Rattus norvegicus: one gene and its partners. The protein of the gene in region 4 purifies or fractionates together with the protein of the main gene of each other region. This does not show direct contact. Links are inferred from orthologs where the notes say so. Each region holds a gene or a part of one and is shown on either strand. Other genes may lie near its edges.

Region 1 (3,564 bases), on a different chromosome or scaffold from region 4:
CATGACAGTGGGGCCAAACAGACCAAACAAGCCCACATCAGGTAGGTGCAGATGCCCGTGAGCCTTAAAGTGACCCCAAGTCCTCAGAACAGGGTGAGAGACCTCAAGAGCAGTGACCCCCCCTCCCCAAGAGGCCTGCTCCACTCCGCTCTTCTAGCCCGGGTTCTAGAAAGTGGATGGTGAACGAACACCCTAGGGGTGATGCAGTTAGGACAGCAACAACCTGGTCCCCAATAGTAGACCCCCTACTAAGTGCTGTCACCATAGAGAGTCCTTCCCAAGCACCATCCTCACAGCAGTTCATCGAGTGTGGTGGAACCTGACTTTGAAGCCGTTGGCACCCAACGAGAGGTGGATTGGTGAGGGAGTCGTTTGCCAAGATTTGAACTGGTCCGTAGAGCTCAGAATGCTGGGAGCTGGAAGAGACGAAGCCCTGGTTACGCTTCCTCCCTTAGCCCTTCTGGAATAGGAGATTCAGGAACTCTGAGGAAGCCCTGGGCGGCCCAGAGGAACCTGTCAGACAGCTTCCCTGCCCCACCCAGTTTCTCATCCAATGGCTGATAGTTTGTTATAGCCTCTGCACCCTTTCCCAGGGAGCTCTAGTGGAGCGAGAGCAGGTCTGCAGAGCCCAGCAGCTGTCTGAAACCCTTAGCTCCTTTTCCACTGGCAATGTTGGGGTTGGGGCAGGCTGGCGAGCCCTGGGCTGGGCTGGAGGGATCTGACTGTTTCCTGTCTTCACACCAGAGCTGGAGCTTGCAAAAACCCAGAGCTTATTCCTAATGGTCCCCCTGCAGCCCTACTATGCCCCAAGCCATCTTCTGGTCAGGCAGGCCCATTTTGGGTTGGGTTCCCTTTTACTTCACCCCTGTACCTTGCTGTCTGTAACCCTCTGAGGCCCTTGAGGCTATGATAGGGCTTCAGGAGAAGGGACGATATCAGGGATGGGGGCTACAGCTGAGTTGGAACTGGAGGTAATGGTGTCTCTCTAGGCAGCTGACATTGTGCTCCTGTTTTTGTCTCCAACAGCCACGATGGAGGTGATGAACCTTATTGAACAGCCCATCAAGGTGACGGAGTGGCAGCAGACGTACACCTATGACTCGGGCATCCACTCCGGTGTCAATACCTGTGTGCCCTCTGTCAGCAGCAAGGGCCTCCTCGATGAGGATGACACCTGCGGCAGACAGTACACACTCAAGAAAACTACCACCTACACACAAGGGGTGCCACAGAGCCAAGGTCTGGACTCCCTTTAGATTTTTCAATCTGGGTTCTCTGCATAGCCCCGGCTGTCCTGGAACACCTCTGTAGATCAGGCTGGTTTTGAACTCACAGAGATCTGCCTGCCTCTGCCTCCCCTGTGCTGGAATTAAAGGCGTGCACCACCATGCCCGGCCGGCTTCACAGTTCCCACTCTTGAGGACTCGGGAAGTCTGAAGGGACCGCGTGACTACCCAAAGAGAGATAGAGAAGTCGCCCCAGTGAATTCCGAATGTGTTGGACGTCACAGGGTGCCATTGGAGCCCAGAGTTCTTGGCTTCTGGGGTCTTAGAAATGTAATAAGGAGATTTTATTGATAGCCCTTGGGGTGGGGGTTGGAGAGACCTGGAGATTACTGGAAAGACATATTCTTTTCACTCCAGAAACTTCATGTCTGATGAGAAAGACAGGGAACAACTTGCCCCACCCCCCAGTCTGGTGGAAGAGTCACAGTGTTCAAGCTTAGACTGGGCTAGCACTGTACTGAGGACAGGCATGGGGGAGCTGATTCAGTTGTGGGGTCCCATCACAAAGGCAAATACTCTACCAGTCCAAGTGTCCCATTCCCTTCTGGGACAAAGGTGCACATGGCTTTAGGACTGTCATTTGCAGATGCCCCCAGGGCCCTAAATGTCCCAGAAGATGGGATTTGAGGCCTGGACAGTTGCAGGATGAGTTGTGACTGGTTAGGGCTCTATGAACTGAGCCTCTGTGTCCCAGGTCTCCTTCTTGGCTGTGCTGGGAGGAACCTCTCTGTGTCCAGTTAGGCCAGGTGATTTCCTAGGAGCTAAAGGAAAGCGTATATAGGTAGGAGAGCCCTGTGGGCAGCCTCTCTTTCCCCATAGAGAATGGCCTTGTTCCTGCCTCTCTACTTACTAGGGCACTGGGTCATTTGCTAAGCAGGGCTATATGGGACTTTTTCTTGAGTTGCTACTTTGTGGAAAGTGAGTTGTATCATTAGACTGATGAAGTTTAACTTGTTTAATCTCTTGACTGACTACACTGGTGGAGGAAGAGTGAGGCTCTGGGCTCCTGAGTCCGCTGCTTTTATGACCTCGCTCTCCAGTGTCCTGCAAAGTGGAGACAGTGTTGTACTTGCCTTGTGAGCTCATTGTTGACAGATTAAATAAGCAGGAGGAAGGTGTTTAACACAGTGTCTGGCACAAGTACTCCACCATTAGCCATTCCTCTTCGTCATTTATGTGTGTGGGTCTACGTGAACATATGCACAAATGTGTGTGAGGGAGACCCCTGGAGGCCAGAAAGAGTCCTTTGGGACTGTGTAGCCAAGGGTGCCCTTCAACTTCCTTTTGCTGCCACTTCTGAAGTAGTGTAATTGTGTGAGAGTGCCACCGTGCCTGTTTTTTTTTTTTTAAGATTTATTTATTGATTATATATGAGTACACTGTCGCTGTCTTCAGACACACCAGAAGAGAGCATCAGATCCCATTACAGATGGTTGTGAGCCACCATGTGGTTGCTGGGATTTGAACTCAGGACCTCTGGAAGAGCAGTCGGTGCTCTTAACCACTGAGCCACCGCTCCAGCCCTCCGTGCCTGTTTTTATCCACTGCTGGAAGCAGAACCTTGTCAGGCCAGCATTCTACCAGCTAAGCTACACATCCAACCAAAGCTGTTAGTAATTTATTTCTAAGCTGGCCATCGTAGCAAAAGTATATGATGTCCCAGCTATTTGGTAGGCCCGAGGCAGGAGGATTACAAGTACAAGATCTACCTGAGTACGAAGTAAGTTCAAAGCCAACTTGGGTAACTTAAAATATTTTTAGTTTTTTTTTTCTTTTTTTTTTTTTCGGAGCTGGGGACCGAACCCAGGGCCTTGCGCTTGCTAGGCAAGCGCTCTACCACTGGGCTAAATCCCCAACCCCATATTTTTAGTTTTTTAAGCGAATGAATGCGTGCCTGCATGTCTGTGAAGTGTGTGTACCAAATGGGTGCAGTGCTTATGGTGGCCAGAAGAGGGCGCCCGAACCTGGAACTGGAGTTAGATAGGGCTGTGAGCCGCCATGTAGGCGCTAGGAATAGACCCTGTGTCCTCTCCGAGAGTAAGTAGCACGTGCTCTTAATGGCGGAACCGTTTCTCTGGCCCCTAATTTTTTTTTTAAAGGCTGGGAATACAGCTCAGTGGTTAGAGTGCTTGCTGAGCAAGTGTGTGTCCCGACCTTTACTTCCTAGTACTGCACTGCAATAAAAACGTTGCCGCGGTCATTTTTGTAATAATAGGGTGTCAGTCTTTTAAAAGCAAGTCTTAATTAGTTGTCGTAGAGTTGCCTGCGCTGGGTGGGT
Region 2 (3,564 bases), on a different chromosome or scaffold from region 4:
GTGTTAAAGAAAGACCTCTGAGTGGCCATTTGGAATGTGGAGTAGGAGTATGGGAAAGTGGCACTGGGGCATTGGGTATTGGGCTGAATGAGAACAGTGGTTGATAAATGATTGTGGGAGCCTAGGACTGGGTATAGGACGCATTTAGGGACAGTTCAATGTGTTCTCGGATTTAGTGACTGAACCAATTCAGTTTACTGGGCACCTGTTTATCAGTTTCCTCTAGGTACTCTTGCCTGCTGAATGCCGGATACATTTAAGGCAAACAGGCCCTAGCTTTTGTGTTTGGTGGGGCTCTGGGAAGCGTGGGAAACGGAGCCTGAGCAGAAGGCCCAGCCTAGGCTAGTCCCCACATGTCTTCCCCCCCATGACTATTACATTGGTTTCTCAATGTCTTTGTGGGCATGCTGGAACTGGGCTTTGAGGTTTCTGCCTTAAGGGTAGGAAGGAGGGGGAAGGGCATTCTAACAAATTTCACCCCCAAATCAGTTGCCTATGTGGCTTTATCTACATTGTACCCTGGTCTGGTTCTGCGTGGATTTACAAGTAGAGGAACTGCAGTGACAGTGCAGTCTGTGCTTTAATTAATCCTACATCCAAAGCCTAGATATCTGAACACAGCAAAGTTTAAAGGGTATTTGTTTCATTAAGCAACTCCAAGTTGTTTCTTAAATAACCCCCTTTCATTTCTAATACTCCCGTCACCCTCTTATATGTATGCAGTGGGTGTAGTTTATTTTCTTCCCATTCTCATTTTTCCTCCAAATATTTCTGCAGCTTTCTCCTTCCTGCTTGCTGCTTGCTGAGGTGGCTGGGATGCTTCCATGGTTTATCTGAATCTAGACTGGGCTATTCTCTGTGCTAAACCAATCAATTACGGGCCTTCTCTTAACAGGTGTGTATGGAATATATATTAAGAATTAAAAGTTATTTTAGGTGCCTTTTTCTCCCTTAGGTGTTTGGTGAGAAGTTAAGGGAATAAGAGAGAAAAAAATTCCTCCTAGTTTGCCATTCAACAGTATACATTTTATCTGTCTGTCTTATCTATCTATATGTCTGTCTGTCTACCTACCTACCTACCTACCTACCTACCTACCTACCTATCTATCTATCCTGCTTTTGAGACAGGATTTCTTTATGTAGTTCTGATTGTTCTGGAACTTGCTCTGTAGACCAGGCTGGCCTTGAACTCATAGTGAGCCATCTGCACCTGCCTCCCAAGTGCTGAGATTAAAGCTATGAGCTACTACACCTGGCCACAAAAACTTGAGACAAGATGTTGTTAAGTTGCCCAGGCTGGCCACAAATTTATGTAGGCTAGCCACAGAAGTTGTGATCTTCCACCTTCTGAGAAGGTGGGGTTGCAGGCCTGCACCACAGATGGCTTGAGGCAAAGCCTTTTTGTACAGTGTCTGAGGTTCTGTCACTGTTGTTCCCATTAGCATGTTTTGCCCTCTATCATGTAGTATAGTTTTGTGAGATAGAAAGGCCTCTTTACACATGTGTGAGACATGGAAGTTTAAGTTCTTTTGCCTTTCTATCTGGGAAGTTCTTCTATATTTCTTTTTTCCCTTTTCTTTTCCTTCTCTCTCTCTCCCCCTTCCTTCCTTCCTTTCTTTTCTTTTCTTTTCTTTTTTTTTTTTTTTGGCATGAGTATTGAAATATTGTTTTTTTTTTTTTAATTTTTTTTATTAACTTGAGTATTTCTTATATACATTTCGAGTGTTATTCCCTTTCCCGGTTTCCGGGCAAACATCCCCCTCCCCCCTCCCCTTCCTTATGGGTGTTCCCCTCCCAACCCTCCCCCCATTGCCGCCCTCCCCCCATAGACTAGTTCACTGGGTTCTTTTTTTTTTTTATTCCAAGACAGAGTTTCTCTCGGTATGTAGCCCTGGTTGTCCTGGAACTCTTTATCTGTGGACCAGGCTGGCCTCAAACTCACAGAGCTCTGCCTGCCTCTGCCTCCCAAGTGTTAACATTAGAAGCATGCACCTCCACCACTTAGCTAATATCTCCATTTCTTAACTGACATTTTCATTTATTATAATTTATCACTACAGCTACATTTATAGTGTTCAGGTTTGGGAGAGGTTAAGTAAAATTTGCGTTGTCCATTACTTGTAGAAGTAACTTGTCCTTGTACCCGGGAGTTAACTTTTATTAAGCTGATGCCTGCAAATATTTCCAGAGAAAAACAATCTAATTTTAATCCCACGCTATGGTGTCTCTGTCCTGCCAATAGTATAGAGACTTTGGTCAAACTGCCACCTTTTCTTTCAATAGGAAGGAGTTCGTAGAGTGTTAAAGAGGGAAGTAGGCGAAGGGTCCTTCCTATTGGAACAGACCTTGGTGATGGGCTCCCAAGCTTGGTTGGTGGTGGCTTGCTTTCTGCACTGCAGTAAAAACACAGAGGGCATCTTTGGCGCTGGGGATTAACAATTCTTCTGTCTTCTCTGACCTGTGATCTTTTCTCTTCTCTCTTACCCCTCCCCCCACCCCTAGTGTGAAGTGAGGGGACCTACTCCCTTCTTTCTACTCCCTCTGTGGTCCACCTTACTTTTTATCCTGCCCTGCGGCGGCTCCTCCCCTTACCTTCATGGACGACTCAGAGGTGGAGTCGACCGCCAGCATCTTGGCCTCTGTGAAAGAACAAGAGGCACAATTTGAGAAGCTGACCCGGGCGCTGGAGGAGGAGCGGCGCCATGTGTCGGCGCAACTGGAACGCGTCCGGGTCTCACCACAAGATGCCAACTCACTCATGGCCAACGGCACCCTCACCCGTCGGCATCAGGTAACCCTTTCTCCATCAGACCTGCAGGTAGGACGTTGGCATGGTTGCAACTGAGGCCTACAGATCCTTAATGAGATGCTACTGGCCCTGGGCTGTCCAGTGTTTACACTTGACGGTGAACTGTTCCAGGAATATTATAAATGTTGATTAAGAAATAAGGGATTTGTTACTGATCTGAGTTGGATGGACTTTAGAAACCCTTTGTGACTTCCTGTTTTGGATAGGGATGCAGTTCTAGTTATTTCTAGTTATGGTACTGTATTTTGTAGCTACACTCAGAGTCACTTCTGTTTTCCTTGAAATATCTTTTTTTCTCAGGGTGAAAAATTAGGAGAGTATATCTACTTAGTGGTTGGGGAAGTTGGGCATCTTGAGCTCCTAGCTCCAGTTCAATCTCAACTAGCGAACAATCTGTTCTCAGAAAGTGTTACAGTGTTCATAAATCCCCAATATTCATATTCCTTTCCCATATGTCCTTGTGTGCTTATTGTTGGGTGTGTAAACCATGTTTTGGAAGAAGAGATCATTGTTACTTTTGCTGGTTAGAGCTGGAGAGGGGGCATCATGCTATTATTTAACCCAGATAACCACAGGAGCAGCAGTAGTCTCAGGGTTGGCTGACTTAGATGTGACTTGGGAGGACTGGTGTTAGAAGTGAGAAGTATATTGTGTTCCCTAAGGTTTATGTCTGACTTTACTGTAATGTATCTGAGTGAATGTGCACGCACACATGCTGGGCACTGCTTGAGTAGACTGATCCTCTAGAGGTCTGA
Region 3 (4,290 bases), about 19 Mb from region 4:
ACACTCTAGGGCGGATCCTGTCCCTGACTAGATTTGGGCAGGGCAAGGTTGAAGAAAGCTCCAGTTGCCCTGAACAGCAGTTAGACTGTAATCAATTACCTCATCTGTCATTGACTGCCCTAAGCTTAGACTGAGAAAGACTTTCTTCCTCCTTCATTCAGTGCAGCATCTAATTTGCCCTCCTTACCAGATACCAACCAAAGGTTGGAGAGGGCATGAGCCTTGCCTTGAATAGATTTACAGGGCTCACTTCCCAACAAGGCCTGCAAACAGGGCTATCAATAAGTTACAACGCAAACAGAAGTTACTAAAAAACTTAAACACAAAATTTGCTACCAGAAATGAAAACGCTGGCTCTTGAGAAAAGAGTTCAATGCTTCAGAAGCTTTACCCAGATGCCTGGATGCCACCTCTACCCAATTTGTATCTGGATCCTTTCCACTCATCCAGGTCACCTTTACCCACATGACCTTCCCCACTAACTCCTTGCCTTTACACACACACCAATTCAAATTTTCTCTAAGCACCAGCAAGGAATAAAACAATGTTCAGATCGTGAAAGCCCTATATCATCTTACAGTTTTAGAATAAAATCTAAATCTGTGACCTGGCCTTTGCCTTCCCTGGCAACCTTCTCCCTACTTCAGTACTAACAATAAACAGATCTCCTCTAAACCTGTAGGCCTCCAAATGCCTAGCCAATGCTCAGGCTACTTACACCTGCTTCGGATCCTATTCCTTCATCCTGTCTAGGTCTCAGCCAGTACACAACCACCGACACCTTCAACAAGCAGGGAGAGCTAGCTGTACTATCACTAATGTGACTTTCTTTAAAATTACAAGATATAAGGAGACCCATGTGGGTCAGGAGAGAAACTACACTCAAAATAAAAAACTGGACGTTTGCGGCTAAGGTTGATGACAGAGGTAGGGGTGTGCAGCTCAAATATAGAGCACATGCCTAGCAAGCACAGCTCTAGGTTTGTTCTCCAATACAACAGTGTGGGGTTTGATGAGAAAAGGCACAAGGCGGTGAGTGATACTCAACTAGGAGGGGAAAAAAGCCACCCTTCATCTCTGATCACCATATAAAATGTTTCTAATGGGAATGGAGATGGGTGTCACACAACTGATATTGGAAACCAATATATTTGGTTAGAATCATATGCAAGAAAAGGAGGGGTTGAAAAGTAAAGGGGGGAAAAAACCAGAATATCACCATTCCACTTAAATGCCCTTTTAGATTTCCCTATTCCTTCTGTCGCATTACTTCAACTCATGCTTCACCCAGTTCAAAAGCCACCACCTTCCAGAACAGCTTATAAACCTAGTTAACACCCCCAACCATGCTCCCACAAGTTTCTGTTGTTTGCATTATTATACAATATGACCCAGACAGGTGTGATGGCACACATCTAAACCCCAACACTCAGGAAGCTTAAGCTAGTTTGAGGCTTCACAGTGAGATCCAGAATGGAAAAAGAAAAAAGGATATGACACTTGAGAAGCTTCCAGGCCTCAAAGAGAATTTTAAAAACCTGGTCTTTTTTTTTTTTTTTTTTTTAGCTTAGTTTAAGGCAGGAAGTATGAACAATTAAACAGAGGCCACCAATTATTTCCCCACTCAATCCTTTTGTAAAACAAAACAAATTCCATTTCATGAGGTAACATCCACCAGTAGTCTTTAAAAACCAACGCTAAACACAAAATAACCTTCTTAAAACACCTAAAAGATGCAAAACAATGATGAAACAGATTTACAGCATAAATTATTCTAAGTTCCATAGACACACACACACACACACACACACACACACACACGCACACTTAAAATAAAACCAAACGTTATGAAGGCACAGAAGTATCAATCCTCGATTTGAGCCAACCGCTCACTGAATTATTGGGGTGGCCACTGCTTGAAAACCAAGGTTACAAATCCAGTCAACAACATCCCCGCCCCCCAAGTTCTACACACATATTAACAAGTTCCTTTTAAAGTCGAAAGGCGGGTCATTGACATCGCAGGCTGGCGATGCCCGCCCTCGGGATTCTGAGGCAGGGAAACCGAGCGATCCAGGTCAGACTGGGCTACTTAGTTAGCAAGATCCGCTCTCAGTAATCAAATGTTAGTAACTCTAATGCTACTCCTGAAAACTAAGAGTAATGTCAGTCAGGTTTAGCAGCAAAAGAGGCTGAGTAATTTTAAGATAAAAATTAAACTCCATGCCACAAGTCCACACGGGTGTGGCGCACCTTAAGGAAAAGAGCGCTGGAGAACAGGAAACTACGACTTCCATTCTCCATGGGTCGGGCTGGAATGTCCGCTCCTCCGACCTCTAGTCCCGCAAACCACCAAGTTTCAGCCGCGGGCAGGGGGAGGGGAGTGGCCGACACAAATCCTCGAAACAATCGCGTCCCTAAAGCGCCCCACAGCCCGACCGCCAGGAACACGCCGCGGTTGTCCCTCAGTGAGGGAGACGGCCTGAGGCGCGACGCCGATCCCGCGCGCGCTCCCTGCTCCGGGAACAAAGTTTAGAAAGAGGGAGAAAGTTTTCCAAGGAAGCGCCCCGGCGGTCGCCCTGCTTCCCGAGCGTCGGGCTCCGCCCGCCCAGGCCCAGGCTGCTCAGGGAAGCCGCCCTAACCCGACGCTCCAGGGCGGCGGCGGCCGAAAGCCCGAGCCGGACACCCGGGACCCCGGCCTGAGGAGACCCGCGCCCCACCAGGGGGCCCCGCGCACCCCGAGGGAAGGTACGAAGAGTTACCTGCGGCGAACGGGGCGAGCGCTGGACGACTCCTGAGGCGCCAAGCCGACGGCCACCGCTTTGTCTCCCGCCCGTCCGGCTCCCAGGAGGAAATGGGCCGCCCTGCGCCCCCGCCCCCGGCCCGCCCCGCGCCGCGCCGCGCCCGCCCTTCCCGGCACCTCCCTCCGCGCGCTCTTCCCGGCGCCTCCCGAGGCCTCCTCACCGCTGGTCCCGGCCTGGCGCAGCCGGCGCTTTCTAGGGAGAGCCTCCCACCCGGAAGGTAGCCTGGCAACTCCAGGCCCGGACCCCCAGAAGTCCTTTTTGTATGGCCTTTGGGCACGGAGACCCCGGACCCCCGACGGGAAGGAGGGGCGGAGACTCGGGGAACAGCCCGCGGCGGGGAAAGGCGGGCGGAGGGCAGGTGAGTCACGGCTCCCGGCTCAGGTGAGTCTCGGGGCGCGGCCCCGGAAGGCCCCGCCCCGTCCGGCTCCCGGAGACCGCGCGGCGACGCAGGGTTCGCGGAACGCACTGCTGTGACCAAGTACCCCGTATCCTAGTCCAAGGCGTCCAGAAAAGGGGGCAACCTTCTGCTTTGCTTTAGGAGAAGAAACACACCAAGTAAAAGTTCCACCTCTCCGGGCACAGTGGAACGGGAACCTCAGGATCTGTTTTGGTCTTTTTTTCTTTTGTTTTGTGGTGTTTGTTTTGTTGTGTTATTTTATTTTTGAAGTAGGGTCTTACATAGCTCAGGCCGGTTTCCAACTGGCTGTGTAAGAAAGAATGACCTAAAAACTTTTTTTTATTATTACAGCAATGTTTTTAGTCTCAGTGTTCCGGAGGCAGAGACAGGCCAATCTCTGATCCGTGAGTTTCTGAGCTTGTGTGGAAATCAAGACGTGCGGTTTCTCTTTCACTATGTGGATCCTGGGGATTGAATTTACCCAAGTGCCAATTTACCCTGAATTCCTAATCCTCCTGCACACCCCCGCAACTCCTGAGATTATATTATAGGTCTGCACCATTACACCTGGTCTTTTAGAGCCTCTTAAAAAGAGTGGGAAAATGAGAGAGATGGCTCTGTGGGTAAAGGTGTTTGCCACTCTGCCAACAACTATCCTCGCAACCTGAGTTGTGGAAAGACAGAATGAAGTCCACAGAGTTGCCCTATAACTTCCACACTGGTACAGATGGCATATCCACCCATGTACATAGAACACATAATAATTTGAATTTTAAGAAAAGACAATTGGAGATGTCTCGGTGATAAAGTGCTTGCCTAGTATACCCTGGATTTAGTCTTCAGCACTACAAAAACAAAAACAAAAAAGACATACCTTCACAAGGCCATTCTTGTCCAACCACTTATTCTGTTTCTACCTTTGGGGTTTTGCCTCCCATAGTCCTCTCTGACTGCAGTGTCTATGCTTTCCCCTTACTTCACTTGACTATGTCAGAACGTAATGATTACATAATAAATATTTGTTTGGCCTAGCTATGATTCCAGTACTTGGGAGGCTAAAGCAAGACTCAAGGATTACCACTAGAAAGA
Region 4 (3,564 bases):
TTTCATAGCTGTTCATGCAAGTGGGTCTCATCACCACAATGTTTTAAAACTGCACATCTTGACCACAAATTTGAAGCTCGTATTTTTTCAACAAGCAAATACATTCATAGTCTAATGCTAAAAATATTTTAAAATATGGTTGTGATTCCATTTTGGAAGTATGAACAATGACAGAAATATTTCTGTGAATATTAGCTTGTGCCAAGCACTGCTTTAAAAGCTTTATTTGGACAATTCTTCAAGGAGTGGAAATTAGCTATTAATTCCACTATACATTTATTCCACAAAATCAACACAAAGTTAACAGAGTTGAATGAAGACCTGGACTGCCGGGCAGTGGTGCATGCCTTCTATCCTGGCACTTGGGAGGCAGAGGGAGGGGATGGGTCTCAAGTTTGAGGCCATCCTGGTCTATAGAAGAGCCGAGGCTGGACATGTGTGAGAGCTAGCAAAGCTGTCATTTTGCATTTGTGTATGTTCTCCTTATTTTAGACATTTAAGAGAACATACTTATCCATTTCAACCAACTCTGACCCAGCAGATATTCACATTGGGAAAGAAAAAGTGTCAAAATACGTTTCAAAACCAACCCTTTCACAAGGCTCTTATATTCATTTTCTGAATATGCACAAAAATAAGTTTTCTAGCACATTGCAGGAATTCGTCAGAGAAAAAGCCTAGAGAAAGAAACACATGAAGAGTATATATATATACACACACATACATATAACACCACATTCTGGGAACACTGAAGTTAGACTTCACCTCTAGTTTACAGGGCATCTGTCTGTCTGTCAGGGCAGGAGAACAAGGAGGCCCATGATCTCAATGCCAGCCCACTATAGAAGCCATCCATACACACAGAGTACGTCACAGAGATGGCAGAGAAGTACTTTACACAGAGCAAGTGGGACAAGGGAAGAAAATTTGGGGCTTCAAGACAAAACAGAGCTTTAGAACCTTGAGAGAGCAAAGGTCTGCTTTCTGTGTACTTTAGCACTGTGGAAAGTCTTAATCCTTTCATCAGCACAAAAGGCACTGCTCTCTTTAACCCACAAAGACGACCCAACAAATCTATTTAATTACATACCATTGTCAGAAGCAAGGAAGGTAGCATTATAGATGTTGTTTTTGACATTTGGCGACTCTCTGTCCAGAACAGCGATAGTGGTGATCTGCCCGTTCACAGGGTCTATTTTCAGCCAGTTGGCAGGGTCAGATAACTTTGTGTATCTGCAAAACGAAAGTGCAGCAGCTCAAACACTTTTTGACCAGAAACTTAGCAAATCAAGCCTCTGTAAATTTTACAGGTTTAATTACAAAAAGGCAAAGCCCTCGTTGATTTGCATGGCTGTAGGTGACAAGCAGACACAGAATTTAAGATAGAAATGTTAAGTCCGTGGCAGTGATTTCGGGAGGTACGCATCGAAAGCACAGCAACGTGGTCTGCAAAGCTTTCTGGGTAAGACATGGTACACAGTCTCCCTGTGGTGAGCTGAGGGAAGATTTAGCTACCCTTAGTTCAGGCCCTTGCCTACTTCAATTCATAACATGGGTACTGACAATAGGGCTCAAATACACTCTCCATATTTTTTCTTTTTCTTTATTTCAGCTTTATTAACTTGGGTGTTTCTTATTTACATTTCGATTGTTATTCCCTTTCCCGGTTTCTGGGCCATTATCCTCCTAGCCCCTCCCCCTGTCCATCCTCCCCCTATTACCGCCCCCCCCCAACAATCCCATTCACTGGGGGTCCAACCTTGGCAGGACCAAGGGCTTCCCCTTCCACTGGTGATCTTACTAGGATATTCATTGCTACCTATGAGGTCAGAGTCCAGGGTCAGTCCATGTATAGTCTTTAGGTAGTGGCTTAGTCCCTGGAAGCTCTGGTTGCTTGGCATTGTTGTTCATATGGGGTCTCAAGCCCCTTCAAGCTCTTTCAGTCCTTTCTCTGATTCCTTCAACGGGGGTCCTGTTCTCAGTTCAGTGGTTTGCTGCTGGCATTCGCCTATGTATTTGCTGTATTCTGGCTGTGTCTCTCAGGAGAGATCTACATCCGGTTCCTGTCAGCCTGCACTTCTTTGCTTCATCCATCTTATCTAGTTTGGTGGCTGTATATGTGTGGGCCACATGTGGGGCAGTCTCTGAATGAGTGTTCCTTCAGCCTCTGTTCTAAACTTTGCCTCCCTATTCCCTCCCAAGGGTATTCTTGTTCCCCTTTTAAAGAAGGAGTGAAGCATCCGCATTTTGGTTATCCTTCTTGAGTTTCATGTGTTCTGTGCATCTAGGGTAATTCGAGCATCAAATATACTCTCTGAACTGGAGCCCTCTCATACAGAACCTAGGGGGGAATTAGCAGTTAAAACACACAGCACAAAGCACTCCTAATGCTTCACCACCTTACCATGGGAGAGACAAAGCATCACCGGAGAGATCTCATAAAACCCCATTCCTACCAGGATCCTCCACGTGGGGCAAAGCCTCAGATGGTGTCCTTCAAAGAGCCCCAAGGCTTTCATCTGGAATAGCACATTCACTTCTTTCAACTCCTTAAAACGTGAGCTGAAGTTTTACAACTCAGAGAACTAACACGTAGATCGGACACGCTACGGTCTATTTTGAGAGGTGAAGTCTACAGGATTTGAATGCGCCTACCAATTAGCCATTTAACTGTCCTGATTTCTGGGTATGGAGGACTGGGGACTTGGAGTGGTCATCTGTCAGCAGTCATCCTGAAAGCACTTAAACCAACTTACGAGTTAATTTTAAAGTTAACTTCAGCCACTACAGAGAACAGTTGGATGGAGCAGCTGTCAGTCACCCGGTCCCACCTCGGGATACATTAGGTTTTGCTGAGGTTGGAACCGTATTACACATCTTATAGGTTTGCTGTACAGGTATGGGGTGAACAGCATCCGTTGGCCCATTTTGGTCTGGCATATGTTCTCATTAGGCTGGACGTGTGGAGAAGAGAGAGCTTGTAATTTCCTGAAGCTTCCCTGTTAATTCACTGTGTTGCTTTTTTAAGTGTTTGATACAAAAGTGTAGGCTAAATAATTGATATTTTTAACGAAAAAGACAGAACAGTAGAAGGAAGATTTTCCTTCTACTAACATATGAATAGATGCAGTCTTGTATTTTTAACCTAATAAAGTCATGGATGCCCTACGAAGGAAATACACCAGAGAATCTAAAATTATTTCAGGAAACATGTATGTCTCCATTTGATCTTTCCATGGGTGCTGAGGACTGAAGAAACCTATTTTTGTAGCTTTTTTTTTAATCTCAAAAAATAAAAAGTATTTTCTGTAAGACTTCAATCGTGAGTTTTCTTTAGGAATGCAGCTCTCCAGGTAGGCATCTCATGCTGCAGTGGATGGCTCTATAGCCATGCATGTACAGAGAGAGCAAACTGGACCCAGTGGTTATAAAACAGAGTGGTTATGAAACGTGAAAGTGGGAAGGAAATGCAATAGGAGAAACTGGGAGGAGGGGGAGGGGAAGGGCCTAGGGATGCATGTGAATCTGTGCATGAAATTCCTAGAGTAAAGAACACTATTTCAA

Evidence for each region.
Region 1: the proteins of Cdh2 (region 4) and Jup purify together in Homo sapiens (co-immunoprecipitation; 4 studies listed by BioGRID and IntAct, with this or other methods). This does not show direct contact. The link is inferred for Rattus norvegicus from reciprocal best matches to the Homo sapiens genes CDH2 and JUP.
Region 2: the proteins of Cdh2 (region 4) and Ctnnd1 purify together in Homo sapiens (affinity purification with western blotting; 6 studies listed by BioGRID and IntAct, with this or other methods). This does not show direct contact. The link is inferred for Rattus norvegicus from reciprocal best matches to the Homo sapiens genes CDH2 and CTNND1.
Region 3: the proteins of Cdh2 (region 4) and Ctnna1 purify together in Homo sapiens (affinity purification with mass spectrometry; 4 studies listed by BioGRID and IntAct, with this or other methods). This does not show direct contact. The link is inferred for Rattus norvegicus from reciprocal best matches to the Homo sapiens genes CDH2 and CTNNA1.

Annotation. Positions count from the first base shown.
Region 1 is NC_086028.1:85,813,875-85,817,438, reverse strand, and holds part of Jup (junction plakoglobin), read left to right. Parts: intron 1-1,026; 5' UTR 1,027-1,031; coding exon 1,032-1,239; intron 1,240-1,482; exon of another isoform or gene 1,483-2,047; intron 2,048-3,564. UniProt on the Homo sapiens protein: Common junctional plaque protein. The membrane-associated plaques are architectural elements in an important strategic position to influence the arrangement and function of both the cytoskeleton and the cells within the tissue.
Region 2 is NC_086021.1:90,113,685-90,117,248, reverse strand, and holds part of Ctnnd1 (catenin delta-1), read left to right. Parts: intron 1-777; exon of another isoform or gene 778-895; intron 896-2,502; 5' UTR 2,503-2,596; coding exon 2,597-2,791; intron 2,792-3,564. UniProt on the Homo sapiens protein: Key regulator of cell-cell adhesion that associates with and regulates the cell adhesion properties of both C-, E- and N-cadherins, being critical for their surface stability.
Region 3 is NC_086036.1:27,001,138-27,005,427, reverse strand, and holds the start of Ctnna1 (catenin alpha-1), read right to left. Parts: upstream 2,829-4,290; 5' UTR 2,763-2,828; intron 2,588-2,762; exon of another isoform or gene 2,254-2,587; intron 1-2,253. UniProt on the Homo sapiens protein: Associates with the cytoplasmic domain of a variety of cadherins. The association of catenins to cadherins produces a complex which is linked to the actin filament network, and which seems to be of primary importance for cadherins cell-adhesion properties.
Region 4 is NC_086036.1:8,087,275-8,090,838, forward strand, and holds part of Cdh2 (cadherin-2 precursor), read right to left. Parts: intron 1,234-3,564; coding exon 1,091-1,233; intron 1-1,090. UniProt on the Homo sapiens protein: Calcium-dependent cell adhesion protein; preferentially mediates homotypic cell-cell adhesion by dimerization with a CDH2 chain from another cell. Cadherins may thus contribute to the sorting of heterogeneous cell types.